7 linked regions of the Ovis aries genome follow. The protein of the gene in region 7 interacts with the protein of the main gene of each other region in a pairwise test. Links are inferred from orthologs where the notes say so. Each region holds a gene or a part of one and is shown on either strand. Other genes may lie near its edges.

Evidence for each region.
Region 1: the proteins of KHDRBS2 (region 7) and CHTOP interact in binary tests that used the Homo sapiens proteins (3 or more experiments, as listed by UniProt). The two-hybrid records come from large-scale screens. The link is inferred for Ovis aries from reciprocal best matches to the Homo sapiens genes KHDRBS2 and CHTOP.
Region 2: the proteins of KHDRBS2 (region 7) and HNRNPR interact in binary tests that used the Homo sapiens proteins (3 or more experiments, as listed by UniProt). The link is inferred for Ovis aries from reciprocal best matches to the Homo sapiens genes KHDRBS2 and HNRNPR.
Region 3: the proteins of KHDRBS2 (region 7) and NCOA5 interact in a two-hybrid assay, tested with the Homo sapiens proteins (2 studies listed by BioGRID). The two-hybrid records come from large-scale screens. The link is inferred for Ovis aries from reciprocal best matches to the Homo sapiens genes KHDRBS2 and NCOA5.
Region 4: the proteins of KHDRBS2 (region 7) and SDCBP interact in binary tests that used the Homo sapiens proteins (3 or more experiments, as listed by UniProt). The two-hybrid records come from large-scale screens. The link is inferred for Ovis aries from reciprocal best matches to the Homo sapiens genes KHDRBS2 and SDCBP.
Region 5: the proteins of KHDRBS2 (region 7) and PRR3 interact in binary tests that used the Homo sapiens proteins (3 or more experiments, as listed by UniProt). The two-hybrid records come from large-scale screens. The link is inferred for Ovis aries from reciprocal best matches to the Homo sapiens genes KHDRBS2 and PRR3.
Region 6: the proteins of KHDRBS2 (region 7) and RBM3 interact in binary tests that used the Homo sapiens proteins (3 or more experiments, as listed by UniProt). The link is inferred for Ovis aries from reciprocal best matches to the Homo sapiens genes KHDRBS2 and RBM3.

Annotation. Positions count from the first base shown.
Region 1 is NC_056054.1:104,074,167-104,078,447, reverse strand, and holds the start of CHTOP (chromatin target of PRMT1 protein), read right to left. Parts: upstream 2,801-4,281; 5' UTR 2,534-2,800; intron 1,404-2,533; 5' UTR 1,387-1,403; coding exon 1,322-1,386; intron 1-1,321. Other genes in the region: S100A1 (protein S100-A1), read right to left, coding at 4,206-4,281. UniProt on the Homo sapiens protein: Plays an important role in the ligand-dependent activation of estrogen receptor target genes. May play a role in the silencing of fetal globin genes.
Region 2 is NC_056055.1:243,236,580-243,240,683, forward strand, and holds the start of HNRNPR (heterogeneous nuclear ribonucleoprotein R), read left to right. Parts: upstream 1-1,304; 5' UTR 1,305-1,399; intron 1,400-4,104. UniProt on the Homo sapiens protein: Component of ribonucleosomes, which are complexes of at least 20 other different heterogeneous nuclear ribonucleoproteins (hnRNP). hnRNP play an important role in processing of precursor mRNA in the nucleus.
Region 3 is NC_056066.1:74,782,507-74,786,006, reverse strand, and holds part of NCOA5 (nuclear receptor coactivator 5), read left to right. Parts: intron 1-2,620; coding exon 2,621-2,757; intron 2,758-3,500. UniProt on the Homo sapiens protein: Nuclear receptor coregulator that can have both coactivator and corepressor functions.
Region 4 is NC_056062.1:37,717,727-37,722,014, forward strand, and holds the start of SDCBP (syntenin-1), read left to right. Parts: upstream 1-1,488; 5' UTR 1,489-1,710; intron 1,711-4,288. UniProt on the Homo sapiens protein: Multifunctional adapter protein involved in diverse array of functions including trafficking of transmembrane proteins, neuro and immunomodulation, exosome biogenesis, and tumorigenesis.
Region 5 is NC_056073.1:27,530,346-27,532,904, reverse strand, and holds the end of PRR3 (proline-rich protein 3), read left to right. Parts: intron 1-207; coding exon 208-498; intron 499-773; coding exon 774-880; 3' UTR 881-2,059; downstream 2,060-2,559.
Region 6 is NC_056080.1:56,479,868-56,484,012, reverse strand, and holds the start of RBM3 (RNA-binding protein 3), read left to right. Parts: upstream 1-1,345; 5' UTR 1,346-1,399; intron 1,400-1,893; 5' UTR 1,894-1,962; coding exon 1,963-2,065; exon of another isoform or gene 2,066-2,301; coding exon 2,302-2,408; exon of another isoform or gene 2,409-3,048; coding exon 3,049-3,154; exon of another isoform or gene 3,155-3,257; coding exon 3,258-3,547; 3' UTR 3,548-3,984; coding exon of another isoform or gene 3,985-4,045; 3' UTR 4,046-4,145. UniProt on the Homo sapiens protein: Cold-inducible mRNA binding protein that enhances global protein synthesis at both physiological and mild hypothermic temperatures. Reduces the relative abundance of microRNAs, when overexpressed.
Region 7 is NC_056073.1:1,048,985-1,052,922, reverse strand, and holds the start of KHDRBS2 (KH domain-containing, RNA-binding, signal transduction-associated protein 2), read left to right. Parts: upstream 1-1,138; 5' UTR 1,139-1,366; coding exon 1,367-1,454; intron 1,455-3,938. UniProt on the Homo sapiens protein: RNA-binding protein that plays a role in the regulation of alternative splicing and influences mRNA splice site selection and exon inclusion. Binds both poly(A) and poly(U) homopolymers. Phosphorylation by PTK6 inhibits its RNA-binding ability.

The sequences.
Region 1 (4,281 bases), on a different chromosome or scaffold from region 7:
GATGTGGGTTCAAGACTCCTCTGCTTCCACAAACTTGCAAGAATCAGAAACTCAGAAATGCAGCTAAGTGTAGCACATTCAATCAAAAGTGATAACAAGGGCTCAGGTAACGGCTTTTAGAGGTGGAAAGCATGAAAAACACGCAATAAGCAGATATGATGACAAGAGACAGAAGATGTAGTTTCAAAGACGGACAATGCAAGCCAAAACCTCAGGAGACCTGAGGGTGCTATTTTACGGGCAAATACACGGAAGGACAAGAGCACCTTCAAAGCCCATGGAAATGATATACCCACATAAATTGTAAGAGCATATCACATTTTCTCATGTATTTGGTCACTTGCTGCTGCTGCTGCTACTAAGTCGCTTCAGTCGTGTCCGACTCTGTGCGACCCCATAGACGGCAGCCCACCAGGCTCCCCTGTCCCTGGGATTCTCCAGGCAAGAACACTGGAGTGGGTTGCCATTTCCACTTAGTAATATGCAAATATGGAGAATCAGAGTAACACACCCTAAGAGATAAAGAGAAGTAAATATGCTTCAGAAAAGACAAACAAACATAAGTAAATCATTCAGTGGTCTAATATCAGCTTAATAAAGTCACTAGTCAAAGGCACTCAATGAACAAAGCTCTCAGACAGAAAGTGCCTTTAAATACTGTAACTTTCTTTTAGTATCAAATGATTCTTTTTTCTGACTCCAAACGATAACTTCTGAAAAGGTTAGTTCAATCATCTAAGAGCTTGTGAAGACACTCTTCTATTACTCCTGTCAAGTTAAGTTTAATGGGATGAAAGAGAACACTCAACTGTAAAAGAATTGAAAACAAAAACAAACTAAAGCAGAGTGGAGAGAAAGTGAAATGGAGCAAAGCAAGTGCCTCTTACAAGGCCCAAGAATGACATTCAAGGGCCTTTGGACATATTCTTAGCTTGCTACCTGCCTCTTACAGGCCAGACACAACACTGCTGGCCTTGGACTGGGCAGCAAGCCTACTGCAGCCAGGGTCATGCTACTGAGCTGCACCACCCCTGTATCAACGTAAAAATATGTGAAGAAAAGGGAGGGTGTGAGGAGTCTTTTTAAAATACATCCCACCAGATAAATATTTCAGATAGCATAATATAAAAATCTAATGATAAGGGGTTTTGAAACAACCGCCCAATTTGTTTTGTGTACCACATACGATGCAACTAAGAACAGAGGTCTGTAGCCTTCTGTTGGTATTTAGTTTAAAACAGACTTTTGTGCATTGGACCCCAGCGCCAATTTAAGTAATGTTTTCTTATGAACGAGCTGAAGTTGCTGTTGGCTGCCTCACCGCTCATTTAGAGACATCTTGGTGGTGCTTTTTAGCACAACTTTCGGCGCAGACTGTGCAGCCATCTTCAAATCCCGAGAATCTACAAAGGACAATGGGCAGAATGAGCAAACCAGAATGGCGACTATCTCCTTTCAACAAGACCCAAAGACCCCAAAATGAATGAAAAGGTTTGTATCGATGACTATCAACAATCACACCAAAACTCATTTCAGGCACTTAAACAGAAGCTAGTTACTTCAAACTAATAAACTCCTGGGGCTTCCCAGATGGTGCAGTAGTACAGAATTCGCCTACCAATGCAGGAGACTCGGGTTCTATCCCAAGGTATGGAAAATCTGGAGTAGAAAAATGGCAACCCTCTCCAGTATTCATGGCTGAAAAATTCCATGGACAGAGGAGCCTGGAGGGCTACAGTCTATGGGGTCGCCAAGAGTAGGACACGACTGAACACACACACCGTATGTTTCAAGGCCGCAGGACAGAAAATATCTGCCCAAGCCTCCAAAATGGCAGACCCAAAGCAAGTGTTGTTAAGAGTCTGGTTTTTCATCAACAGCGGTCCTTCTCAACCTTGGCGGCAAGGAGCTTTAAATAAACAAAACAGAAAGCACTCAGAAGCCTGAGCCCACACCATTTCAAGCACAGTCTCTGATGGTGAAGTCTGGGGATGAGCCATTTATATAGCAAGGGAAAATACGTCTACCTCGCTGCTTCCCACGTGCAGCTAAAACTGAGAACTACTGAACTAGAGAGATGACACAGGTATACCAATTTCGCAATCAAGTTAGGGGCATCAGCAAGGGCCTGGCGACCTGGGGGAGGGAGGGAATAGGAAAGATTTCCTCCACGAGCATTCCCCTGGGAGTGCGCTCCCAGAGAGCGCGCCACAAAATTTAACCCTAAAGCCGCCATTACTTTCCAACGCTCCTTGAAGTCGAGTAATCCTCCTTTCATCTCAAACCTCTGTCAGAACCGCCAACGTAACTCAACTCGCCAACGTTCCTTTCTCATCCCTATCAAATTCCACCCTTTCCGTCAATCCCGCGACGATTTTCCGTGCGGGGTCTCCCCCGCCTCCCTCTCACGGGCTCCGCCCCCTTCGGGGCCTCCGACTCCCTATTTGCTTCCACATCCCACCAGCTCCTGCTCCGCGTCTGCCGGGCCCCTCGGCTCCCCCAAACTCTCGCCCTCCTCACCACAGACACGTACCGAAGGAAACGGACGCCAGTGCTCCTCCCGGGGCTGCCACCACGGCTGCGGCAGGCGGGCCGGGGGCCGGCCGAACCTGAGTTGACGGTGGAGGGGCTCGGGTTAACTTGGTGGGCGGTTGGTTAGATGTGTTAAGCGGTAGATTGTTAAGTTAGTTCGTTGCTGCTGGCTGGTTGTCCGGTCGGCCGGTCCGCCTGCTCACCCGGCCTGCTCTTTCCTTCCTTTCACTACAGCCGCTGCCGTCAACTCCCGCTCGGTGTGGAAAACAAAATGGCCGCCACGCCCAGGGCGGAATGGGACCGGCTAAAATGGCGTCGACGCAGTTACGTCAGACGTCAGATCCGCCGCATCCCTAGAGGGGCGGGAAAACTTGTGCCACGCCTGGGCGGGGATTAGGGCGGAGCCCTAGGAAGAAGGCGGGACTTTAGCGAAGGCCTCGTCTGTATTACACGCAGCGCCCCGCCCGGGGAAGGGCGTGGCCAAATGGTTTCGCTCTTGAGTTTTAACGGGCTGCGGATGATTAAGTGATTCGCGTCTCTTGGGCTGATTTGGTCTCCGTGAAAGAATTGTCCGTATTTTCTCGCGCGTCCTTCTGCCCCTGAACTAAGACAGAACAACTAAAATTCTTCAGGCGGATGTGCCTCGATCTCTCTTGCGGACCACTGGGCTCGGGTAGTTTGCACTCGGGTAGTTGCACTCCCCTTATTCACCCCGGGCCCGGGTCCGAGAATTGTAGGCTATAGCAAAAGCCCCAGCGGAGGCAGGGGAGCCAGTGATCAGAGCACACCTCTGCTGGGTTCAGCGCCACTCACCACCGTCCGTCCATAATTTCCTCTTCACTTCCCTCCCCAGCTTGGCCTGAATATTGTTAAATCCTTATTTTGTGGGGCCTTTGCGTCTCCCCTCCCGTTTCCGTGTCCACTCTCGCCGTTTTCCATTCATGTGGATTTTGATGCAGACCTATACGGGATTTTTATTATGCTTTGACACACAATAAAGGGCTCGAATGTTTGAAGAATGAGCGAATGAACACATCTTCACCCCTGCCCCCAGTATAGGCGCCTCAGATCCTTTCATTTTCCTTCTTAGCATATATTTGTGAGTTTAATGTTTTGGTATCCTTACTGGGCTTTACCTATGTGACGCTGAGGGTTGTGTGTTGTTAGGTTCACTGCTGTGTCCCCAGCTCCCATACGATGTCTAGCACGTGGTAGGTCTTCAGTAAATATTCTTTGAAGGTTGAAGGGAAATTCTGCCTTTATAGCTGAGACCCTGGTGCACGTATTAGCTTCATACATCCTCCACTTCTGGCTGGAACCTTGAATCCCAGCCTTCCTGGGCCTTCAGCATTCCTTAAATAGGAAGATGCAAGGGTCCCTTGACCTATCTCCAAAAAGATCTCTCCTCAAATAAGGCAAGTTGTGAGTGAGCAGCCTTCATTTCCCCACCTACTCTATACTGTCCACCTACTCTGTGCTGTTAGCAAAGGAGACAGACAGCAACTGGTGGCTGGTGAGACAGAAGCCTTTAATGAAAGAAGAATTGCAGGCCTGGCCCACTATTCTTGCGCCCTTGTTGGTGGGGAGGGAAAAGTAAGGTGAGGAGGAAGCAGGTTGAAGGAGCAGGCATGGCAGGGTAGAGGGGTAGGGCGCTGCCTGCTGGGGCCGGCTCCTCAACTGTTCTCCCAGAAGAAGTTGTTGCACGCCACTGTGAGGGCAGCCACCAGCACCACATACTCCTGGAAGTCC
Region 2 (4,104 bases), on a different chromosome or scaffold from region 7:
ACGGACTCAATGTATACGAGTCTGAGCAAACTCGGGGAGATGGTGGAGAGGGAAGCCTGGCTGTGTTGTAGTCCACGGGGTACACAAACAGTTGGACATGGCTTAGCTACTAAACAGTAAAATCATTTGCATAAATTTCACACCCCACGCTGCAGAAGTTGGGTTGTCCATGACGTTCAGCCCAGTACCGAATGCATAGGTTTTCAACAGCTAATTTTTGGCTGATAGTTTCCGGGAAATTTAAATTATCCTTGAAGTGTATCTGGAAATCTTTCAGGCCACTGCTTGGCTTCCTTCTCGCCTGGAGAGGGACAGGGCATTGGAGATGGGGAAAGAAGGGCCGTGGGATGAGTGAGGTTCGGACTAAAGCGAGGAACAGGGGACAAACCAGTAGGGGTGGAGGGTGAGAAATGTTTAAGAAAAAAGGGATTTAGCCTCCTTTGGGAATTAGCTCTTTTCCTTGCACGGTTCCTTTGGCTTCGTAGATGCATACACCTGCCCAATGTTCTTTTGTGAATATGAATTAGCTCCAAACCCCACGCAGAAAGGTCTCAGCTCTGTCATTTGTAGCTAACATGACTCTTAAGTAAATGCCCACTTGAGCGATTTCCCTCACATCCTGAGCTGCTCCCAACCATGTGTGGAAGAGAGCCAAGGAGGGAGTTTTCTGAGTGCTCCAAGGGATGATTTTTCTCCGCGAAGAAATTCTCCAGCAAAACAGACGAGCCAAACCCCTACAGCGTGCTCTAACTGGAGCCCAGAAAACGACCTAGAAGAGGCCCGGCCGCGTGGCGGTGGGCGTGTCCGGGGTGAACGCGGCGGCGGCGGCTGCCCCTGGGAGGCGGATTACCGGCGTTAACACGCCGGTGAAGGGGCGGGAAGGCCCGAGGGCCCGCGGCCGATGGAGCCGATGCGAGCCGTAGGGGGCGGGGTTCCGGGGGCGGCCTCGCGCGGGCGGCAGACGAGAAGGGACGGGAGAGGGGGCGGGCCTCGGCCACTTTGGGCCTGCGGCCCCACAGCCTCGCCTACCACTCGCGGCTTCGCCACAGACCCCTTTGTGTTCCTGCCCCCGCCCCGGAGGCGCCCCAGCCGGCGGCGCTGAGTTCCCTCATTGGCTCAGCCGACGGCTTCCGCGATTGGCTTCTGAGCCGTCCGGCGTGGGGCGCCTCTTCTCTCTGCTATTGGTTGTCTGGGCTGTTCGTCAGGCCGCCGCGCGAGGTGATTGCCCGGCAGCTCAGAGTCCCTGGAAGCAGTTCCGGGAAACCCCGCGTGCTGCCGGGATCGCGTCTCGGTCCGTGACGGGGGGGGGAGGGGGTGGTGCGCGCGCCATTTCTAGTCGTTTTCAAAGCGCCTCGCGCTGGTTCTCACGGGCCCGGCCACCGGCCCCAGCTCTGCCCTGGTGAGTCTCGCGCCGGCCCGCGGGGGGAGGGGCCGGGAGCCCCGATCCGACCCTACCGGGCCAGGCCGGGGCTCGGCGCCTGCTCCCCAGTTTCGTCTTCGCTCCGAGGCCCCCAGGGTGGGGGTGGGGATGGGCTGGGGGCGGCTTCGGCCTCGTCCGGCTGCTCAGCGGAGGGCCTAGCCGCCGCCGAGGCGCTTCCTCGCCCTCGCTCATCCTCCCCGCTCTCCCCGCCACCCGCCGCCTCCCCTCCAAGCCCAGGCCCGCGGTCCGGCCCGCCGGGCGCCCTCCGCGCGGCCTGCCGGGTCCGCCGCGCTTTTCCCGCCTCCGCCCGCCGCTCCACGCGGCCGAGTCGGCCGCTTTCAGTCCCCGCTTTAGATAGACCCCGTCGCCTCTCCCTGCCGGAGCCCCGCCTTGCTCCCCGTCTCAGCCGGCCTAGCCGCCCGTGGGGTTTGTTGATGGTCAGGACCGGCATGGGCCGGGGTGGGCCGAGGGCGGGATGCCAACCCGGGTGAGCCGAGCCGGGAGAAAACTTTTGTGTGAAGCAGAGGCCGAGAGGCCAGTGTGTGTAGGAAAAGGCCTCCGTTTCCCCTCCCCAGCCGCCCCCCTCCCCCAGTTCTGCATGCTGCAAGTCGAGATTTGAAGGAAAAAATGACTACTAGAGGCCATGAAACTTAGGCTTCGAGCGGCGCCTGAGATACCGAAGTCTAAATGCCATAGGCGCACTCTTGGAAAGGCGATTCTCTTTTCCTTCTGCGATAGAAACCGTATTGCCAAAATTTTAAGACTCGAAGAAGCCACGGGGATCTTGAAGGGTTCAGCCCCTTCCACACTACCTGTTTCAGATTTTTTGCTGTCCTCCGGAGTCTAAATTTATGTCTCATGAGTCAGTCGTAGGATAAGGGCTTGACACTCCTAAGCCATGAGAGAACCGTTAGTTTTCATTTCATTGGATCCTTAAAAGCCGGTCTCTTAAAATGAGAATTATTTTCACGAGATGTTCAGAAAAAAAAAAAAAAAAAAAAGGAAGGGGCTAGTGCCAGATTTCCCAAATTTCCCAGCGACCCTGATTTTAATTTCTCCTTTTTGCAAAAAAAAGTTTAGATCAAATAACATCAATCATATTAATATATTTGCTGCATCCAGAAATATGGTTTGGCTGTGTGGCATTGAATTGACACAAGAGTTTTAAATGGTCATATGACATGAAAGTCTTTTTTTAATATGAGCGCATTATATTTGGTTTGAAGAGAGCTTTTTCCTTGATCTGGAAGGTGTTATTTTCTGGACTCTCTTAATAGTTGTACTTTTTTGTTAAAGTTTACAGACATTTTTTGAAAATTTCAACCAATTTAAAAATCAACTTGTAGAGAGCCTTTGCAGTGAATGATAGTCATAAATATTTGTCTTGTGCTTAATACACAACTTGTCTTTTTGCTTTACACATAACTTTAAAAATACCACCTTAACAGATTTTCATTGAACTTTTCTGTTAAAAATTTGCTTTCTTTCCGTGATTGATAGTATTCCCAGGTGCAATACCGCAAGGGTCTTGTGATACTGAGAACTTTTGAGTTCTAATGATCTATCTTATGGTCGTATTTGAGGGTGGGTGAGCATGGAAAACAACTATACGTTCCCAAAAATATTTTGGACTTGAAGGCTTCTTTATAGAAGTAGGTTGTACTAATCAGTAAACTATTCATCTTACACTATAAGTAGTTTCTTTATCAAAAGTGTCAGTTTTGAATGTTTTTGTTTTTGCCAGTTCATCAGAGTTTGAGTTTTGCCTTGAGAAACATTTATCCACCCAGAGATTAACCACGGAGTCTGCCTCTATATAGACATTAGTGGGTTACTAAGTCTTAATGTTTTGTAATCATAAGAAGTTATAATACTGTTTATCTCATTTTCAGAGTAACAGTTTGTGCCTTTTCCTCTCTTCCTGCTTTCTGTTACCTCCTCAGTCTTCCTTTTTCATTAACTTCAACGAAATATCAGGGGGCTTTGAAGTTGTTTTAAGTCAGAAAAACTGCACCTGGTGTATTTGCACAGGGTTTTGATAAGCAGTCTGGAAGTGTGGTTATCTTAGGTATGGATTTTAGTGCTTTTTAGGAAACTTGTATTTTCTTTACAGCTGTCTAGGTATCTTCAGTTTCATCAGGAAAAGTAGGCTTTTCCTTGAAATCCACCTTCATGTCTTTTATTTCAGTATTTGTTGCAATGTCTTTATTCTGCTGCTTATTATCTTCATCACATTATAATTTCACCACAGACAAATGCACTTTAATTCCCTATCTTTTGCGGAGCTAGTATAGAGACTGGCCTTGTATGGTTTTATTATTTAATCTCTCTTCAGGGAGTTGATCCATTTCAGCATTACATAAAAGTTGAACACCCAAAATGATTTGGGTAGGTAAATCTGAGACATCTGACCTAAGTTTAAAAAGAAGCAACCTTAACTACAGCTCACTTTTTATTTTATGTGGACTTAAAACAATCATTTAGCTTTTAAACCTGGTCATTTTTTCTTTTAAATCTGTGAATGGGAATAGCAAATTAATTTTAGAACAAAAATTAATGTCAAGCTGTGTTTTTTAAGTTAGGTGGAGAAAACCCAAACCAGCAGCATGTTGAACTAGAGACAACAGGGCATTTATTTCACACCTATGTTGTTTTGAAGCAGAGCTAGTAAAGTTTGAAAGTCC
Region 3 (3,500 bases), on a different chromosome or scaffold from region 7:
GTGAAAAGATACTTGACATCCTTAGATAGCAGAGAAATGCAAATCAAAACCACAATGAGATAGCACTTCATACCTACTAGGATGGCTTTAATACATTTTTTTTTTTTTAATGTTGTTGAAGTGTAGAGGAACTAGAACCCTCATACATTGCTGGTAGGAATGCAAAGTAATATGACTGCTGTGAAGAAGACAGAAGCAGAAGATATTAAGAAGGGGTGGCAAGAATACACGGAAGAACTGTACAAAAAAGATGTTCACGACCCAGATAATCATGATGATGTGGAGGTGATGGAATTTGTATGAGATTGTGCCATACACAAAGCTAGTGGAGGTGATGGAATTCCTGTTGAGCTGTTTCAAATCCTGAAAGATGATGCTGTGAAAGTGCTGCACTCAATATGCCAGCAAATTTGGAAAACTCAGCAGTGGCCACAGGACTAGAAAAGGTCAGTTTTCATTCCAATCCCAAAGAAAGGCAATGCCAAAGAATGCTCAAACTACCGCACAATTGCACTCATCTCACATGCTAGTAAAGTAGTGCTCAAAATTCTCCAAGCCAGGCTTCAGCAATATGTGAACTGTGAACTCCCTAATGTTCAAGCTGGTTTTAGAAGAGGCAGAGGAACCAGAGATCAAATTGCCAACATCCGCTGGATCATGGAAAAAGCAAGAGAGTTCCAGAAAAACATCTATTTCTGCTTTATTGACTATGTCAAAGCCTTTGACTGTGTGGATCACAAGAAACTGTGGAAAATTCGGAAAGAGATGGGAATATCAGACCACCTGACCTGCCCCTTGAGAAACCTGTATGCCGGTCAGGAAGCAACAGTTAGAACTGGACATGGAACAACAGACTGGTTTCAAATAGGAAAAGGAGTACGTCAGGGCTGTATATTGTCACCTTGCTTATTTAACTTATATGCAGAGTACATCATGAGAAACGCTGGACTGGAAGAAATGCAAGCTGGAATCAAGATTGCTGGGAGAAATATCAATAACCTCAGATATGCAGATGACACCACCCTTATGGCAGAAAGTGAAGAGGAGCTAAAAGCCTCTTGATGAAAGTGAAAGAGAGCGAAAAAGTTGGCTTAAAGCTCAACATTTAGAAAACGAAGATTATGGCATCTGGCCCCATCACTTCATGGGGAATAGATGGGGAAACAGTGGAAACAGTGGCAGACTTTATCTTTTTGGGCTCCAAAATCACTGCAGATGGTGACTGCAGCCATGAAATTAAAAGACGCTTACTCCTTGGAAGAAAAGTTATGACCAACCTAGATAGTATATTCAAAAGCAGAGACATTACTTTGCCAACTAAGGTCCGTCTAGTTGCTATGGTTTTTTCTGTGGTCATGTATGGATGTGAGAGTTGGACTGTGAAGAAGGCTGAGCACTGAAGAATTGATGCTTTTGAACTGTGGTGTTGGAGAAGACTCTTGAGAGTCCCATGGACTGCAAGGGGATCCAACCAGTTCATTCTGAAGGAGATCAACCCTGGGATTTCTTTGGAAGGAATGATGCTAAAGCTGAAACTCCAGTACTTTGGCCACCTCATGCAAAGAGTTGACTCATTGGAAAAGACTCTGATGCTGGGAGGGATTGGAGGCAGGAGGAGAAGGGGATGACAGAGGATGAGATGGCTGGATGGCATCACTGACTCGATGGCTGTGAGTCTGAGTGAACTCCGGGAGATGGTGATGGACAGGGAGGCCTGGCGTGCTGCGATTCATGGGGTTGCAAAGAGTCGGACACGACTGAGCGACTGAACTGAACTGATGACTGCTGTGAAAAAGTTTGGCGGTCCTCAGAAAATTAAATGGAGTAGAATTAATGATTCACCAGCTCCACTCTTGAATATATATCCAAAAGAATTAAAAAGAAGAACTTACATAGATGGGTGTGACTGTACATAGCAATACTATTCACAGTAGCCAAAAGGTAGACACCACTCAAATGTAGACACCATCAATAGATGGATTAAAAAGTATGATATATCCATTCAGTATATTATTCAGCCATAAAAAGAAAGGTCATTTTTATACTTGCTAAGCCTTGATAGACCTTAAGAAATATGCTACATGAAATAAATATTAAGCTACATTGTCACAAAAGACAAATACATGTTTTCACTTACATGAAATATTTAGAAAAGGCAAATTCATAGTAAGATTAGAAGTTACAGAGATCGGGGGTGAGTTTCTGTTCAGACTGTTAAGGATGATGAAAATTATTTTATATATGTGTATTTTTTTATTCTTTGTTTTAACCGCAATTTTTAAAAAGCACAAGGAAGGAGGCTTGGGGTAGGGCCTAGAATGGTTCCTCAAATATCAGTAATTACTACCAGTTATTTTGTGTGTACTTTGGGCCAGGGAGCTTCCATTATGCTGAGAGTGTTCTGTACGTCTTCCCAGTCCTTTTGGAAGGTGGGTTAACTCAGTCCCAGCCACAGAGCTGATAAGCAGTGAGTCCCAGATACTAATTTTGTTTGCCTAATCCCAAAGTTCTGTGCCTTACTGTGTCTTCCTCACAGATGGCTGGGTCTTGAAGAGTTCTCTGTATTTGATTTTTGCAGGAGAAAACCTTTAACTTTGTGCACGTTTCTTTACCTTTTCAGAAGAGAAGGCTCTTACGACCGATACCTGCGAATGGATGACTACTGCAGGAGGAAAGATGACGCTTACTTTGACCGTTACAGAGATAGTTTTGATGGACGAGGCCCACCAGGCCCCGAAAGTCAGTCTCGTGCAAAAGGTAAAGTAGAAGAAACAGTTTATTCTTATCACAAATAGAACACTTTATAAAAGAAAGAGGAAACTAATAACCAGCTGGAAAGGAGCTAATGACTTGGCTAAGCAGTTCACAAAAAGAAGAAATACAAATGGCCTGTTCATTTGTAGAGAGCATTCAGCTTGAAAATCATTTTTTAAATGCAAAGTAGTACTGTCATCTGGTTTAGTCACCCAACAAGAAGAAATAAATATGAAATACTATCAGTAAGAAAAGAAATGAACTAAACATTGGAGCTGAAGAGGTTAAATGTTTGTTTTTTGCTCATTGACCAAATAAATATAACTATCTTTATTACCTATGTAGTATGTGGGGAGAGTTGTTTTATTTATAATTTTTACCTAAGAGCATCTATTTTTTAGATAAAGACATGTTTTTTAAAGCCTTGATTTTCTCAATATATTTAATACATCTTTAAGATTTTTTAATTGTTTTCTTCCTGGTCAAATTAATAACCTCATTTGTAGTTTGCCGCAGAACTTTACTGCCTGGTTTTGTTTAGGATTTTTTTGTTGATTTTTTTTAACTGCCTGATTTTTTTTTTTTTTTTTTTTTTAGCAAATTACAATTACCTGTCAATAAGAGTCTTAAATGGTTGTCCCAAAAATGAAAATTAGGATAATAATGATATACTATCTTTTGCCTATCAATTGGCAGGAGGTTTTTTTTTTTTTTTAATGACAAAACTCAGCGTTGATTAAGATATG
Region 4 (4,288 bases), on a different chromosome or scaffold from region 7:
GCTTATTAGTTTTAGGTTATTTTTGTGTGTGTGGGTCAGTTCTTTGGGAGTTTCTAAGTAACTATGTCACCTGTGAACAAAAGCAATTTTCTTTCTTTTTTTTTTGATGATAAATCTTTCTTATTTTTTAAATTTTACTTTACAATACTGTATTGGTTTTGCCATACATTGACATGAATCCACCACGGGTGTACATGCGTTCCCAAACATGAACCCCCCTCCCACCTCCCTCCCCATAAGATCTCTCTGGGTCATCACCATGCACCAGCCCCAAGCATGCTGTATCCTGCATTGGACATAGACTGGCGATTCGATTCTTACATGATAGTATACATGTTTCAATGCCATTCTCCCAAATCATCCCACCCTCTCCCTCTGAGTCCGAGCAATTTTCTTTCTTTCTTTTGGTTGCAGTTGTTTTTACATGTCTATTACTCTCTGAAGTCTTTTCATCTCATTGTCATCTCTTTTATGCTCAGATTTTTATTTGACCATAGGTTAAATTATCATTGCACTAAATAATTTAGCTAGAAATAAACTGCTTCTAAGTTAATGCTCTTTTTTCAAGTACTGCTACTCCATGGTAAGTATGGAAAACGTAGGTAAAATGTGCCTCAATGTCTTTGCCCCCTAAAGAAGATGGTGTATCTACCTTTGATGTAAGCACCAAATTAAGACTGCCGCAATGACACCCCACTCCAGTACTCTTGCCTGGGAAATCCCATGGACGGAGGAGCCTGGTAGGTTACAGTCCATGGGGTCGCTAAGAGTCGGACACGACTGAGCGACTTCACTTTCACCTTTCACTTTCATGCACTGGAGAAGGAAATGGCAACTCACTCCAGTGTTCTTGCCTGGAGAATCCCAAGGACAGAGGAGCCTGGTGGGCTGCCGTCTATGGGGTCGCACAGAGTCGGACATGACTGACGCGACTTGGCAGCAGCAGCATACCTTATGTTCTTAGGACAGTTCCTAATAGTTTTTCAGTTTTTGATTAGGATACAGGTATTACTTTTGTGCACTACGACACATAACCTTCAACAACCAGCAAACTTAGATCAAATAGACAAAGAGTAATAAAAACCAAAGAGAAATGTTGTAGCGCCAAGAAGGCAGGAGTCCGGGAGGGTTAGTGGGAGGAATGTTTAACAGCCTGTGAGTGTGGTGGAAGTCTAAGGCTGGCCAGGAAATCGCCGAACGACAGGTTCTCAGGACTCTGTGTTGGAGATGATGGGAACCAAGTGAGCATGTGCGGAGGTGAACAACACTAGGCGGGTGGCACAGGGCCGAAGTGCAGGAGCTGTGGGGAGAGAAGAGCAGGTGGGCTAGAGCGGCAGGAGGTGAGAGCCGCCCCCCGCCCTGTTACCATGGGGACCGGGTCACCTGACCGGGCGCCGCACGCCTGCGCGGGCGGAAGGCGGGGGCGGCGCGGTGACGCGCGGCGCGGGCGGTCCTCGGGAGCGCGCCGCCCTCCTCCCTTTGGGTTTCAGAAGTCCGAGCCAGTGACCGGCGGCGGAGAGCGGGTCTCAGCGGTCTCGGTGAGCAGCCCTGGGGGGCACCGGGGGACGCTCGCGCGGCGTCCTGGGCGCGGGGACGAGGAGCGGGAAACCTGGGGGACTCGGGGCCGCTGGGCGGAGGGCATTTCGGCGGCGGCCTTTCCTCAGTGGGCTCCGCTCCGTGCCCCTCGGGGCGCCCAGCCGGCCCGGGGGCGTAAGTTTGCGCGACGGCGCCCCTCTGCCCGCCCGCGGCCTTGCGGGATTCGGGGTCCCCGTCCGGAGAGAGGGGCGGGGAGGGAGCCTGAGGCCCGGCCGGGGACGATGCAGGCAGCCCCCCGTCCGCCGCGACTCTTTTTGTTCGTGTTGGGTGGGCCCGCGGCCGGTGCGGGGGCACCCTCCGGCTCTGGTCCCGGTGCCGCGATCCCTGTGTGCGGAGTCGCCCTCGGGGGCGGCGGCGGCGGCGGCCGCGTCCGAACGTCCGGAGTTGGAGGGAGGTGTTCGGCAGGCGCAGCCTTGACTTTCTGGAAGGGGGTGGGGAGGCTGCTCGCGGCGCTAGTTTGTGAAGTTGGAGGAAAGGGAGAAGAGCTCCCGGCTGGGTGAGCGCGGCAGGAAATGTTCCTAGAGGGCTGGCCTTTCAGAGCCTTCCGAGCTTTCCTTGCAGGATTTCCCTATAATCACGGGAAGGCGGAAACTTACAGCTACGGAAAGTTTCCCCTTTCACCAAAACGGGCTTATTTCATCGTGGAGTCTTGCATGATGCCGATTTTAAAAAGAAATGTCTAGGTTTATCTAGTCTGTGTTGTGTATGTGGTCCGCACACCCATTTACTGTTATTTTTAATATCATGTACATTTACTGTTATTTTAAATATCGTGTGCACTTCCTAGGAAGTAGGTTTGGTTTACCAAACTCATAACATCCAGTGTTTCGAGGAAAAAAAGTCCTGGCTAAAAAGGAAAATTACAGGGAAGAAGAGCCACAGGCTGGTTAGCTGTATCTCAAATGTATATAAATGGTCAGTTTTAAGTTTGTCTGTTCCTTTAAGTTTTTCTGTTTTAGGTTGAGGGCAAACAGTAAAAATGTGTGTTTTCATTTGCTGTGTTATCAACTTAATTCTACAAACTTTTATTCTTTAAATGGTATGTAAACATTATAAATCAGATTGTGCTACAGAATTAAAATAAGGGAATGTCTTTTAATAGGTTCAGGAAATAGTCATCCTGCTATAGAACATATTTAACTTTGGCAGCATTAATTTTTCGTTATGTTTGGGCATTTTAAGAAAGGATGTGAAAATCGTGACTAAAAGAGGAAGCATTTACTAATAGTCGGCGGTTGAACCTACTTTTCAATAAACAGTTCCCTAAATTGAGCATGACTCAACTATATTTTTTCCTGTTTTTGCCGGATTTAGGTACTTTTAGATAGCAAATGCCAAAAGTCTCTTTTAGATAGCAAATGCCAAAAGTCTCTAAAAAGATTCCCACCCCTGCAACTGTTATATGTAGTAATAGATATATTCACAATTATTAATGTTTCCAAGTGCTGCCAAGATTTTTTTTGTGTATTTATTTAGGCTTTGAGGAAGTAATCAGTTAACGTGACTCAACATTTAAGTAAAGAAAAACAGGGTACGTAGTGTGTACTGTTCCCTTCCTTCAAGGTCCTCTAGCCAGCCAAATTCTCTTACTGTAGGAAACAGCTGTTTTGCATTTCTTAGGTATCTTTATAGGGATATTTTATACCTTACAAATATATATTTCCCCCCTTCTGTTACTTCTCTTTTTTTAATTGCGATAAAGGACACAACTTGGTGACTAAACAGCAGGCATCACAAGTGCATGTAACATTACCATCTTAACCATTTTAAAGTGTACAGTTCAGAGGTATTAAATATACTGACGTTGTCATGCAACCATCACCACTGTCCATTCCCTCAGCTCTTTTCGTCTTGTTCTCATTAAACAGTAATGCCCCATTCTGTCCTCCTCCCAGCCCCTGGCAACCATTTTGGTACTTTGTGTCTCTCATGATTTTGACTAGTGCAGCAACCTCATGTAAGTGGGATCAGGGTGTTTGTCTTTTTTATATTTGGTTTATTTCACTTAGTGTAATGTTTTCAAAGTTCATTCATGTTATATATTGCAGAATCTCCTTCCATTTTAAGGCAGGGTAAAATTCCGTTGTGTATGTGTGCGCGGGCATACATTTATACACACAGTTATACCACATTTTGCTATCCATTCATCTGTTGATGGACACTTAGGTTGCTTCCAAGGTTGAACTAATTTGAGGGGGTCTTCTATACTGTTTTTATAACACCTGTGCCCAGGGGATGCAGTAGTAAAGAGTCTGCCTGCCAGTGCAGGAGACCTGGGTTCCATCCCTGGGTCGGAAGATCCCCTGGAGTAAGGAAGGGCAACCCACCCCAGTATTCTGGCCTGGAGAATCCTATGGACAGAGGAGCCTGGTGGGCTACAGTCCATGGGTTGCAAAGAGTCAGACACGACCGAGCAGCTGAACACGCACATGTGAACACACACCATTTTACATTCCTACAAACAGCAAATTAAGAGTTCTAAATTTTCCACATCCTCACCAAAACTTGTTTGGTTTTTTTGGGTAGTTGTCACTCTTGTGGATGTGAGGTGTATCTCATAGTTTTGATTTGCATTTCTGTAATGATTAGTCCATGGGAAATAAATGGAGAAACAATGGAAACAGTGTCAGACTTTATTTTGGGGGCTCCAAAAATCACTGCAGATGGTGACTGCAGCCATGAAATTAAAAGA
Region 5 (2,559 bases), about 26 Mb from region 7:
TGTCCCTTCTCTAGCCTATCTTAGTGGGAACACAGGTGTGCTTACCTTGGTAATAGTTGAGTTAAGGACTTAAAATTGTGTATTTCTGGTGTATATATTGTACTTCAATAAAATGTTTTTAAAACAAAATCAGGGTTGCATTATCTGTATTAAGCTGGCCATTGATGATCTTCCCGTGTCTCTCTCTGTCTCTGTCTGTCTCTTCAGCTTTTCACAGAGGTCCTCCGGGATCAAGGGGACCAATGATCCCACCACTGCTGAGTCTCCCACCTCCTCCCCGGGGCAGAGGCCCAATTCGGGGAGGCCTAGGCCCCAGGTCTGGCCCATATGGTCGTGGTTGGTGGGGGGTCAATGCCGAGCCTCCTTTCCCTGGACCAGGCCACGGGGGTCCTTCCAGGGGAGGCTTTCACAAAGAACAGAGAAATCCTCGAAGGCTCAAAAGCTGGTCTCTTATCAAGAATACCTGCCCACCCAAGGATGGACCCCAGGTTATGGAAGGTGAGGTCCATTTTTTTATGCCTGCACACATTTAATACCCATCACTCCCAGAGCGACCTCATGCCTAGAATACCCATGGCTCTTGTGCTTTGGGTTGTCCTTTGTCCTTTTGGAGTAGGAGTAGCCCTGAATGTTTTTTCTCCCTCGAGAAAGTCTGTCATTCCATAATACCTGGAAATGGTAGCAAGTAGGAAATCTGACCTTCTCTCTCTCTGCTTTTTGTTAGATTTGTTTGTTCTTACATTTTAAACTGCCCGATTTTTGCTTGTTCACAGACAAATCTGACCGCCCCGTCTGCCGACACTTCGCCAAAAAGGGCCACTGTCGATACGAGGACCTCTGTGCCTTCTACCACCCGGGCGTCAACGGGCCCCCGCTGTGAGGCCGCCTCCCCACCCAGACTGGAAGGGGCCCCCGGCCTGGCGGCCACGTTCTCCCCTGCGGCCCTGTGCTGGCCACCGTGAGGCTGTTCCTCGCGCCACCCCCAGTCAGTGACGCCCACCCCCCTCACCGCCCCCTCCCACTGGGGGCCCAGAGTTGTGTTCCATGACTGGTGTGCGGTGTGCACTCTTCTGATCCAGCCTCCAGAGACATCTCCAGGACCGTCCCTGCTCCATTCAGCTGCCTCCTGGGTCCTCCTCCCCCTCGCCGGCTGACTGCGGAACAGGAAACCTCTTTGGTGCTGTTTCTTGTGCATCTGTCCACCCAGCCCCCGGTATCGCCCTGGATTCCTGAGAGCCCTGGAGCAGTTTCCTACCATCCCCTCCTCGCTGCTTGTTTTTAAGTCCTTTTCGTGTGACACCCCTGCCCCAGCGTGGTCGGCGGCCCTGTGACGCCCGTCCGGTTGGCTGACCTGGGGTCAAGTGTGGATGACTGGTGCAGAGTCACTTCCCGAGAGGCCACACTCCCCGCTCTTGGATCTGGTAGTTCCTGCGTCAGTAGCATGATCCCCACCGCTGTGGTCTGTGCTCACTGTGCTTTGTGAAACTCTGCATCCCCCTGCCCCTCACCCCCATAGCCTTTCTCAGTGTCCGTGGCATTTTCGTGACCTCCCAACACTAGAGTAAGTTTTTCTGCCAAAATGTGTGGGGCCGTTGGTGCCGCCTAGACTTTCCCCACCCCCCGACGAGGAAGAACTGTGAAACTCCACAAGACCGCCTCCCTGGTCGTCTCATCCTCCCCATGTCGGTTCCTCGGGATTGACACAGGCCCGAGAGATGTCATCTGAAGGCTCAGATGGGCCTCTCCTCTCTCCAGCCCATCTTAGACTGCATCATCGTGAGGCCACCAGCCGTTTCATTTGAATTCTGTGAATCTCCACCTGGCCAGTGGGTGGAACTCGGACAGTACTGTCGCCCTCTTCCAGCCTTCTTCCCCTGCATCCCTGGCACTGGTTGTTTTCTGTGAAAACGGCAGTGAACAGGTTCAGTTTTGAACTGGCCCTGAGGAAATGGGTCAGGAGTTGTGTGGGCAAGAGGGAGGGATGAGAGCTGTTGGAGAACTGAGAATGAATTTTTTTTTTTACATTTTTTTATATTAGTAATAAATGCAGTGGAAACAAGCATTTTCTTTAATCCCTGTGTTGCGGCCATCTCTTGAAGTGCAGAGGAGGCTGGGAGTCAGTGTATGCTTCACTTAGAATGTTGACATGTTTTTCCCAGTCTGAAGAAACCAGCGGGGCCCCTTACCCTGTGGAGATCAACCGGACCAGCTGCATTATATTCAAGGGCTAAGTTTTGTTGGAGAAAGGAACGACCTGTCCATGGAGTCATTTTTAAACATTTTACCTGTGTTTATGGTTATAGAGTGGAGGTGGCAAAGCAGTCTTTGAGCAAATACTGGTAGAGTGCCTGTGGGCCAGGCAGCATACAAGACACTATAGCAATAACAGAGAGCCAAAATCAATGAACTTAAAATCTACAAGAGGAGACATGTTCGTCAAGTCACAAATATGTGTAATGTACCTGTCTAAAGTGCTGTGAAGAAGCGAGACATGGGGGAATACGTAATAACGATTCTGGGGAGGTGACAGCTGAGACAAGCTTTGAGGACAAGCAGAAG
Region 6 (4,145 bases), on a different chromosome or scaffold from region 7:
AAGTTTCTAAGGACAAGCTGGCTCTCTTTTAGGGGCTAATGCAACTGGTAACTTTAAGAAAGAAGACAATGCTCATTGAGCATTCTGAAAAATCCCAGGGCTCTTAGGAATTAGGGTAAATCTATTCTAACTGTCCTCTGTAAGGGGGCTTCCCTGGTGCCTCAGACAGTAAAGAATCTGCCTACAGTGCAAGTGACTTGGGTTCAACGCATAGGTTGAGAAGATCCCCTGAAGAAGGTAATGACAACCCACTCCAGTATTCTTGACTGGAGAATCCCATGGCAAGCTAGTCCATCAGATTGCAAAGAATCAGACACAACTGAGAGACTAGTAACACTTTCACTTTTTCACCATACTGTATCCCAAAAGTTAACAGATCTACTCTGTATTTGGGGTGCTGATCCTTAACAGGCTGGACGAGTCCATTCTATGGATGACATATTTCAAGTCTCTGAGGGTAACTAACCCATTCTTCTTTGATGGGGAGCTCAGAAACAAAAATTCTGTCAAATCCATTCATTGTAAAGGTAGCTCAGACACTCAGAAGGCGGACAAGAACAAATTGTGGGCAGTGGGCTCAGACACTCTGTCCCTTACTTATTGTGAAAGTCCTCTGCGTGGATCAAGGGTTCAGCAACTCTGAGTGACAGCAGAAATCATTCTGTTGGATCAGGATTTACTCCTTTTGAAGACTGAAGCATCCTCTTTTGTAGAAGGCACCTCAGGTGGTCTGTTGGTGGGGAATTCGAGAAACTGGCTTCAGGAAGTTGTCAGTTAAGGATAAGGGCTGAGGTTATAAATGAGAAGAAACGATGCCAGGGGAGTTGCATAACAGGTGGCTAAGATGTTGGGCAGAGGAGGAAATGCAGGGATCGGGGTCAGGGGCTAAGAAACGAAGGAATGTCTGATGTTAAGGACTGTGAATGGTGATGCCGTCAGGGTCAGTAGGGAGATAAAACATCGGGCCCTGGAGGGGGTATGAGCTCGGAGGACTAGAAGGTGAAAGGGGGCAGTAATTATGTCCTCTAGGAACCTAGAGAAAGACGTCAGAATCAATGAGGGAAATGACATCAAGGGTGATAAGGGTGATGTCAGAGACGGAAACGGGTGTGAGAGCATAAGAGATGAAGATGGCTGGGCAGATGTGATGTTAGGTTGCATCATCACAAACCACTCCTTTTCCGGAATCGTGCTCAGCTCCTCCCTCCCTTCAAGCTGTTGTCCCTTCCTCCCGCCCCGCCTTACTGACCTTAGCCAATGAGCGTGCACGGCGGCACGCATGGCGGAAGTTCCGTGACGTAGCCACTCTGTACCCTTTATTAGCGTCTTGCCGCGCGGCAATCTCCCCAGTCTCGGCTCCTTCGTGGTGGATCTCTTTTGAGTTATTGTTAGTTTGCAGGTAAGTAGCATATATTTTTGCGGAGCGGCTGTTCCTCGTCTCACTGACGTTTGATGCGCCGGTTGAGAGCGAGGTGCGCGAGTGAGAAGTAACGGCCTCTGACACATAGGCTTGGTCTTCACTGGATCGGGTGGGTTCCGTGCTTGGAGGTGACACTTTTTGGTTGGTGCGAGGCTGGCGCGCTATATTTGAGTGCAGGAAATGCCGGGAATGGCTGGCGGCGTGGGTGGCAGCCGTGATCGTGCGACGGCGAAGGCGGATGGGGGGAGGGGGCTCATTTTGCATGTGACCGCCGCCATCTTGTTCAGGGTTCTTTTGGGCATGCGCAGGTGTACAAAATGACGGGCGTCGGGTAGGGGATATTGTGTGGGCACCGGCTCCGGAGGTTTCTGTCTTTTTGGTCTTTGTCTGTGCTTGGTTACCCCGTATTTTTTTTTTTTTGCTTGTTTTGTCTCCTCTGTTCTCTCTTCCTTCATCCTTTCTCACTTCTCCAGCCTCTTTCTCCCATCTCTACAGTTTCTCCTATTCTCCATATCCTCAACACAGGACTTGAATTTACTGCCATGTCTTCTGAAGAAGGGAAGCTCTTCGTGGGAGGGCTCAACTTCAACACTGATGAGCGAGCTCTGGAAGACCACTTCAGCAGCTTCGGACCTATTTCTGAGGGTGAGAAATGGGCCAGGTGCGTGATGGGGGGATTGTGGAAGAAAGTCTGGGTCCCATGCATTTCAGGAAACAGGAGAGAAAGGTTAGAACCCCAGGCCTTACCCTTTTCCTGCCTTTGTTCCTAGGCCTTAGACTGAAGAACCCAATAAGTTTCCATTGAGTTTTAGTGGAATAAAGATTCATTCTTAACACCGTTTACTACTTGTCCTCTTAGCTCTTTCCCCTGTCTTTTCCAGTGGTGGTCGTCAAGGACCGGGAGACTCAGCGATCCCGGGGTTTTGGCTTCATCACCTTCACCAATCCGGAGCATGCCTCAAATGCCATGAGAGCCATGAATGGAGAGGTGAGGTCTCCTGCCTGCATAGGGGCCCTGCGTCCATCTGTCACTTGGACCATTCTGTTTTTCCCTCTGTGTCTGCTTGGGGCAGCGCGGCCACCAAGCCCCGCAGTGCCCACTCACAGGAGCGTGACTGCCTTCTGTTCTAGGGGGTGGAGGGCAGCGGCAGACAGAGCCGGGCTGCCTGGGAGGCGACGACTGGTCCTGCATGAGGCCGAGAAGCCACCTGTGGATGGTTGACCTGCTCTGGGCTTAGGTAGTAGAGTCTGCAGACCTGCGGGCCTGGCCCGGAGAGGACCTCGTGAGTCTTCTGGGATGGACTCTGAAGCCTCAGACCAAGAGAGGTGTCTGTCTAGCCCTAATAGTCGGGCAGCTTAGAGGAGTGGGGAGGAGAATTCAACCTGAGTTCGGTCAAGATGTAAGTAGTAGCAGGGGAAACATGGTGGATTCAGGTAATTCTGTGGGATTCTGTAGCTCCAGATAAAACCATTTGGGTCAACGGAGCTTGTTCTGGAATATGGCACCCAGAACCTGGTGCCCAGCAGGAATTTCTGGGCTCTTTCGCCCACTTGCCCAGCCCACTCCTACCTCACCCCTGCCCTGTTTGACCACCAACCCATCCATCCTTGTGTCTCCCCACACCTAGTCTCTGGATGGTCGTCAGATCCGTGTAGACCACGCTGGCAAGTCAGCCCGGGGATCACGAGGGGGTGCCTTTGGGAGCTATGAACGTGGTCGTGGCTACCCTAGAGGTAAGTTACTTGGTAAGTTTGATCATGGGGTGCGGAGGAGAGTTGCCTATTAGCATTCTATGTCTAGACAATTGCCATTCAGAATATTTTTTCCCTATTGTAGGTGGTGGGGACCAGGGCTATGGAAGTGGCAGGTACGACAATCGACCTGGAGCATATGGATTTGGATACGGATATGGATATGGAAGGTCCAGAGACTATGGTGGCAGGTGGGTAGCCAAGGGGTTAGGGTATGCTGGTGCTTCTTCCCTCTCGCTAAGAACTCATCTTAGGGATTTATCTGGTGATCCGGTGGCTAAGACTCTGTACTCCCGATGTAGGGGGACCTGGGATCAATCCCTGGTCAGGGCACTAGACTCAACATGCCACACCACGTGCCACAACAAAGATTGAAAATGCTGTGTGTAGCAACTAAGACCCAGCACAGGGAAATGAATGAATAAACTTAAAAAAAAATTTTTTTTAACTCAGTTTTTTTGCTCAAAAATATAAAAAGCTCAGTTGCCTGAGTATTCATACATACCTTGCTGTGGTGCTAATAGTGTTTGCAAATTGTAATGAAGTTATAAAGCAAGTAGGAAGCAATATTCTGGGTTAAGTATAACATTGGTAAATAATTTGTTAGGTCATGTAATTGCAATGTGCGGTAGATGGTGACATGTTTATTGTACTGTCTTGATTATGTATGGTGGTAATATTTAATATGGTATATTATACACCATATGAGTGAGTTTTACTTGATACTCGTGTTTAACTTACCATGGTGTTTAGTAATACTGCAGAATATATAATACATTCCTGTGATACTACTATGTATGTTTTTTTCCCAGAAGCCAGGGTGGTTATGACCGCTACTCAGGGGGAAATTACAGGGACAATTATGACAACTGAGATAAGGTATGCACACCTAACGTAAGTGAGGCTTCTATGTTGCCATTTAAGAGACCTCTGTCCACCAGTCTTCCCTGTTCCTCTCACTTTCTTCCTGTAT
Region 7 (3,938 bases):
GTAATTAACCTCCAATTAAAGTAAATAAATTTATATTCAAAAAAGTTTCAGCATGCTCTATTTATAGGGAAGTGAGCCCTCCTTCTTCCACGAACAAAAATGGTGGGGGAGAGACGAATTAGAAAATGACTTTATGAAAAGAGATGGTGGAAAAGTTTATTTTAAAATATCCAAAGTACTTAAACTGCATTTTGAAATGCATTTGTAAGAGAAGCATGGGCAGTGTTGGTGATACCCGGGGGGTTTAACTCTGCTTTATCAGAAGAGGAACAGCAATTGCACTTGGAGAAACAGACTGCATATCCTAAATGACGGAGATACGGGGAGGGCGGAGCAACTGTCGTTGCCTGATTCCTAGCCTGTTCCTTCTTCCACATGTTTTTCTAATTCCTTCACAAACTGATTACGTGGCTTTAGTTGTAAAATTCAGCCCCCTCCCAGAAGGCCCCTATAGATAGGGACTGGGGAAGGAGGAACGGACGGAAGAAAACCAGTCAGTCCCGCTGTGACTGTCCAGTGGAGGCGCGTTGCTGTGCGGCGATACCGCCGCGGAGCCGCTTTATTTGTTCATCAATGAGCATCTACTGCATCCCCTAGATACAGGTCAAGCCCACTGGAAATCGCAGCCACCCATCACAAGCAGTCTTCACTGTATTTCCAGAGCGGGAGCGCCGCCGATCTCTACGCACCGAGTGCGTGTGCCGGTAGGAGAGGGAACAGCTGAGCCTCAGGACGCGGGTGGAGTCAGCTCTGCGCTCCTGAGGCGCTCCCGGCGCTCTCCAGTCCTCGCTGCGCGCCTCCTCGCCCCATCTCCCCGCCGTCTCGGACTCCGGCTGCTCGGTTACGGTGCCCTTCCCGCTCTTCTAGACTCGCGCCTCCGCAGAAGACAGACGGCTCCTTGCACCTGGGCGCCACAGCTGAGCTTGCCTAACGGCCGGAGGGTGCCGGCTGGGAGGAGAAAGCGCGCGCACCTTCCTTGCTCTCCTCCCGGCGGCTCCGCCTCCCGCCAGTTCGGCGCATCGACGTCCGATGCGGCCCAATGGCGACTCTCAGCCGCTGCGGGCCCCGCCCCTCAAGGCACACCCACCAATGAGCGCTTGGCAGGGGCAGAACGCGTCCTGTGCCCGCCTCCCCGTCCAGGCCGCCGGAGCAAGCCGACCTGGGCGGAACCGAGGTACGGCCGCTCGACCGGCCCGGAGGCTCGGCACCACTTCAGCCCGCGGCCGGGCGGGCGGCGACGGCCCAGAGAGGGCGCCAGACACCGGCCGTAGCTGAGGCGGGCGGGCGGCGGGAGAGCAGGACGGCGGGGACGTGCGTCCAGCGCACGGAGCCCTGAGCCTGGCGGGGCCCGTACGAAGTCCGCGCTATGGAAGAGAAGTACTTGCCTGAGCTGATGGCAGAGAGAGACAGCCTGGACCCGTCCTTCGTGCACGCCTCGCGCCTGCTGGCCGAAGGTAGGACTTGCCCCCGGGTGGGCGCAGACCGCCGGCCCCTGTCGCCGCGGCGGGGCTCGGGGAGCGGAGTACGGGAGGACGCCTGTCTCCTTCGCGGAAACTGCCCTGGACGATGCTCGCCCAGAGCCGCGGCGGAGCTGGTCCTTGGGAGGCGGGTGCTACTTTCTCACTCCATTCGCGGCTGAATCCGGGTAGCCCGGAGCGGCGGGCGCTGGCTGTGAAGACAGTGCCCTTTAGGATCACTGATGGAGCGACGTTAAGGAGCTGCGTGGTCCACCGGGATGTTTTAACTCCGCCAAGGGAAGGGAAGTCAGTCTGGAGTGAATGGTGATCAACGTGGTGTTTGATGAGCTTCTTCTTATCTACAAATCAGTCCCCCCCCCCTTTCCCTTTTTCTTTCCCTTTTCCCCCTTTCTTTTCTCTTATTTTCTCTCCCTTCTGATTGAGAAGTGATTTTGATTTTCTTAGTCTAATTACAGTCTTTCCTATGGAAAGACTTAGTATTAACCTAGATTAAATTATGCGTGTTCTGTTTGTGCATGTGGAAGTGGCTGAAATGCATATCAGTTTATTTGAAGTGTGATGATTGTGTGCTCTGGGAGATGCTGGTCCCTGGGAACCCTCCACAATTGATCAACTGTTGTACCAAGTGTGCAGTGTATGTGTGTGTGTGCAGTGTGTGTGTGTGTGTGTGTGTGTGTGTGTGTGTACTTTAATGTTGAAAGAGATTTAATTCCCAGGGGAATATAAATATCTTTTCTTTTGTGTTCTTTTGAAGGGTTGTTTAAACACACACACACAGGAACTTCTGTATGATAGAAATATCTGTAGCAATCTACATTTACCTTTATAAAAACTAAAGACTTTCGTTTTTTTTTTTTGTGGGGGGGTGAATGTCTCAATAATGAGTTGCTTCATCATCAAATTGACTACAATGCAGTTTTGTTCCTTAGGTTCTTAGGAACTTACCTACAGCAAAACTAAAAGTAATAACTTTCTTCCCCTTAGCCCTTCAGCATCAAAAGAAATGTTTTCTTTTGTGAGATTTAGTTTTACATGGAAGGAGAAATTCTAATCCTCCATGTATGAATTAAATAGGCATTATACTTATTTAAATGTTTTATTGATGGATTGTTATTTGCAACAATAAAGTATCAGATATTTTTCTATTTTGTATATTAAGTAATTAAGTAATTAAAAACAACAATTGAAATATTGAACATGTGAAACAAGTAAACTACTTTTCAGGGGACAAGTTGATTTTGTAGAGGATTTGGAATGGAAAATGCAGTCATGCTTGCTACTTCTTGGTTACTAAATAAAAAAATGCAACCTAAAATTGTAAATGAAAGTTAAAAAATTAACCTCTAATCTAATCTATTAAAAATAAATAAACTACATAAAATAATAGGAACATTGAAAATTAATGGATTAACAAATATTCAAAATGATTAAAAATGTCATTGTGTTCCTAAATCATCTATTTCAATGCATTTTCCAGAAATGTCTTCATTTAGCTGATAAAGTCTTTAAAATAGAAAAAGTTACAAATTAATCATTTTCTCAGACCTGCTAATTGGACTTCTTTTGGGGACAGTAGGCTAGATGATTAATTCATAAGTTATTAATGAGAGTTAGTGTACTGAAAACTGCCAGACTAAAGCAATGCATGTGAGGAGCTCTAAACAGAGTATAGAAGTATTTCTCTGTGGTAAAACAGCCAGAAAAGTCTGTGAACCTGGTTCCTTAAAATTTTCTTAACATTTTATTTTTCTCAGAAATTTGGTTTCTTGATACTTAGGAACATGTTCCTATGTACTTTGTAATTTAATATTTTCCCAGTAGGGGGAAGCATGTTCTGCCTTTGTAATGAATTAGAAGTAAAAAGTGCCTAAATAGAAAAATGTCTAAGGAAGAAACAAAGATAGGTGTCCACATTTCAGAGGAATCATAAGGAGGAGGAGGAGGAGGGGAGTAATGATAATAATCTTGAGTATATAAAGAGACTCTTTGCAGCTGGCTGAAAGATCCACAAGATCTAAATTCTGTAATTGTACCCAAGCCTCTTCATGTTCTCATTGAACAGTGTCCTTCTGAATAAACCTTAACATACATTTTACATTACAGATCTTTCGTTGTTTTTTCAAAGGCCATCTACCTAGATTCTTAGGTCTTATTTCGAATCTCTATAGGAGAGTGTTGTTGAGATAATTTTATTTTTCACCCCTGGAAATGTACTGATTGAAGGCAGTGGCTATAAATACACCTGACATAGATGTTCGTTAGGAAAGAAGGTGTTCCATGAAGTACATTTCAGCCAGCACTGTGCAGAATGTCTCAAGACTGAGTGTGTAATAAAAATGATCCAGATGATTCAGTTCTTTGAAATGGTTTTTTGGAAGGTAATATATACAAGGTCAGTGATGTAAGCCACTGAGCATTCATAATGATTTGTTTTGCTGTTTTGATTGGTGGTAGATGCAA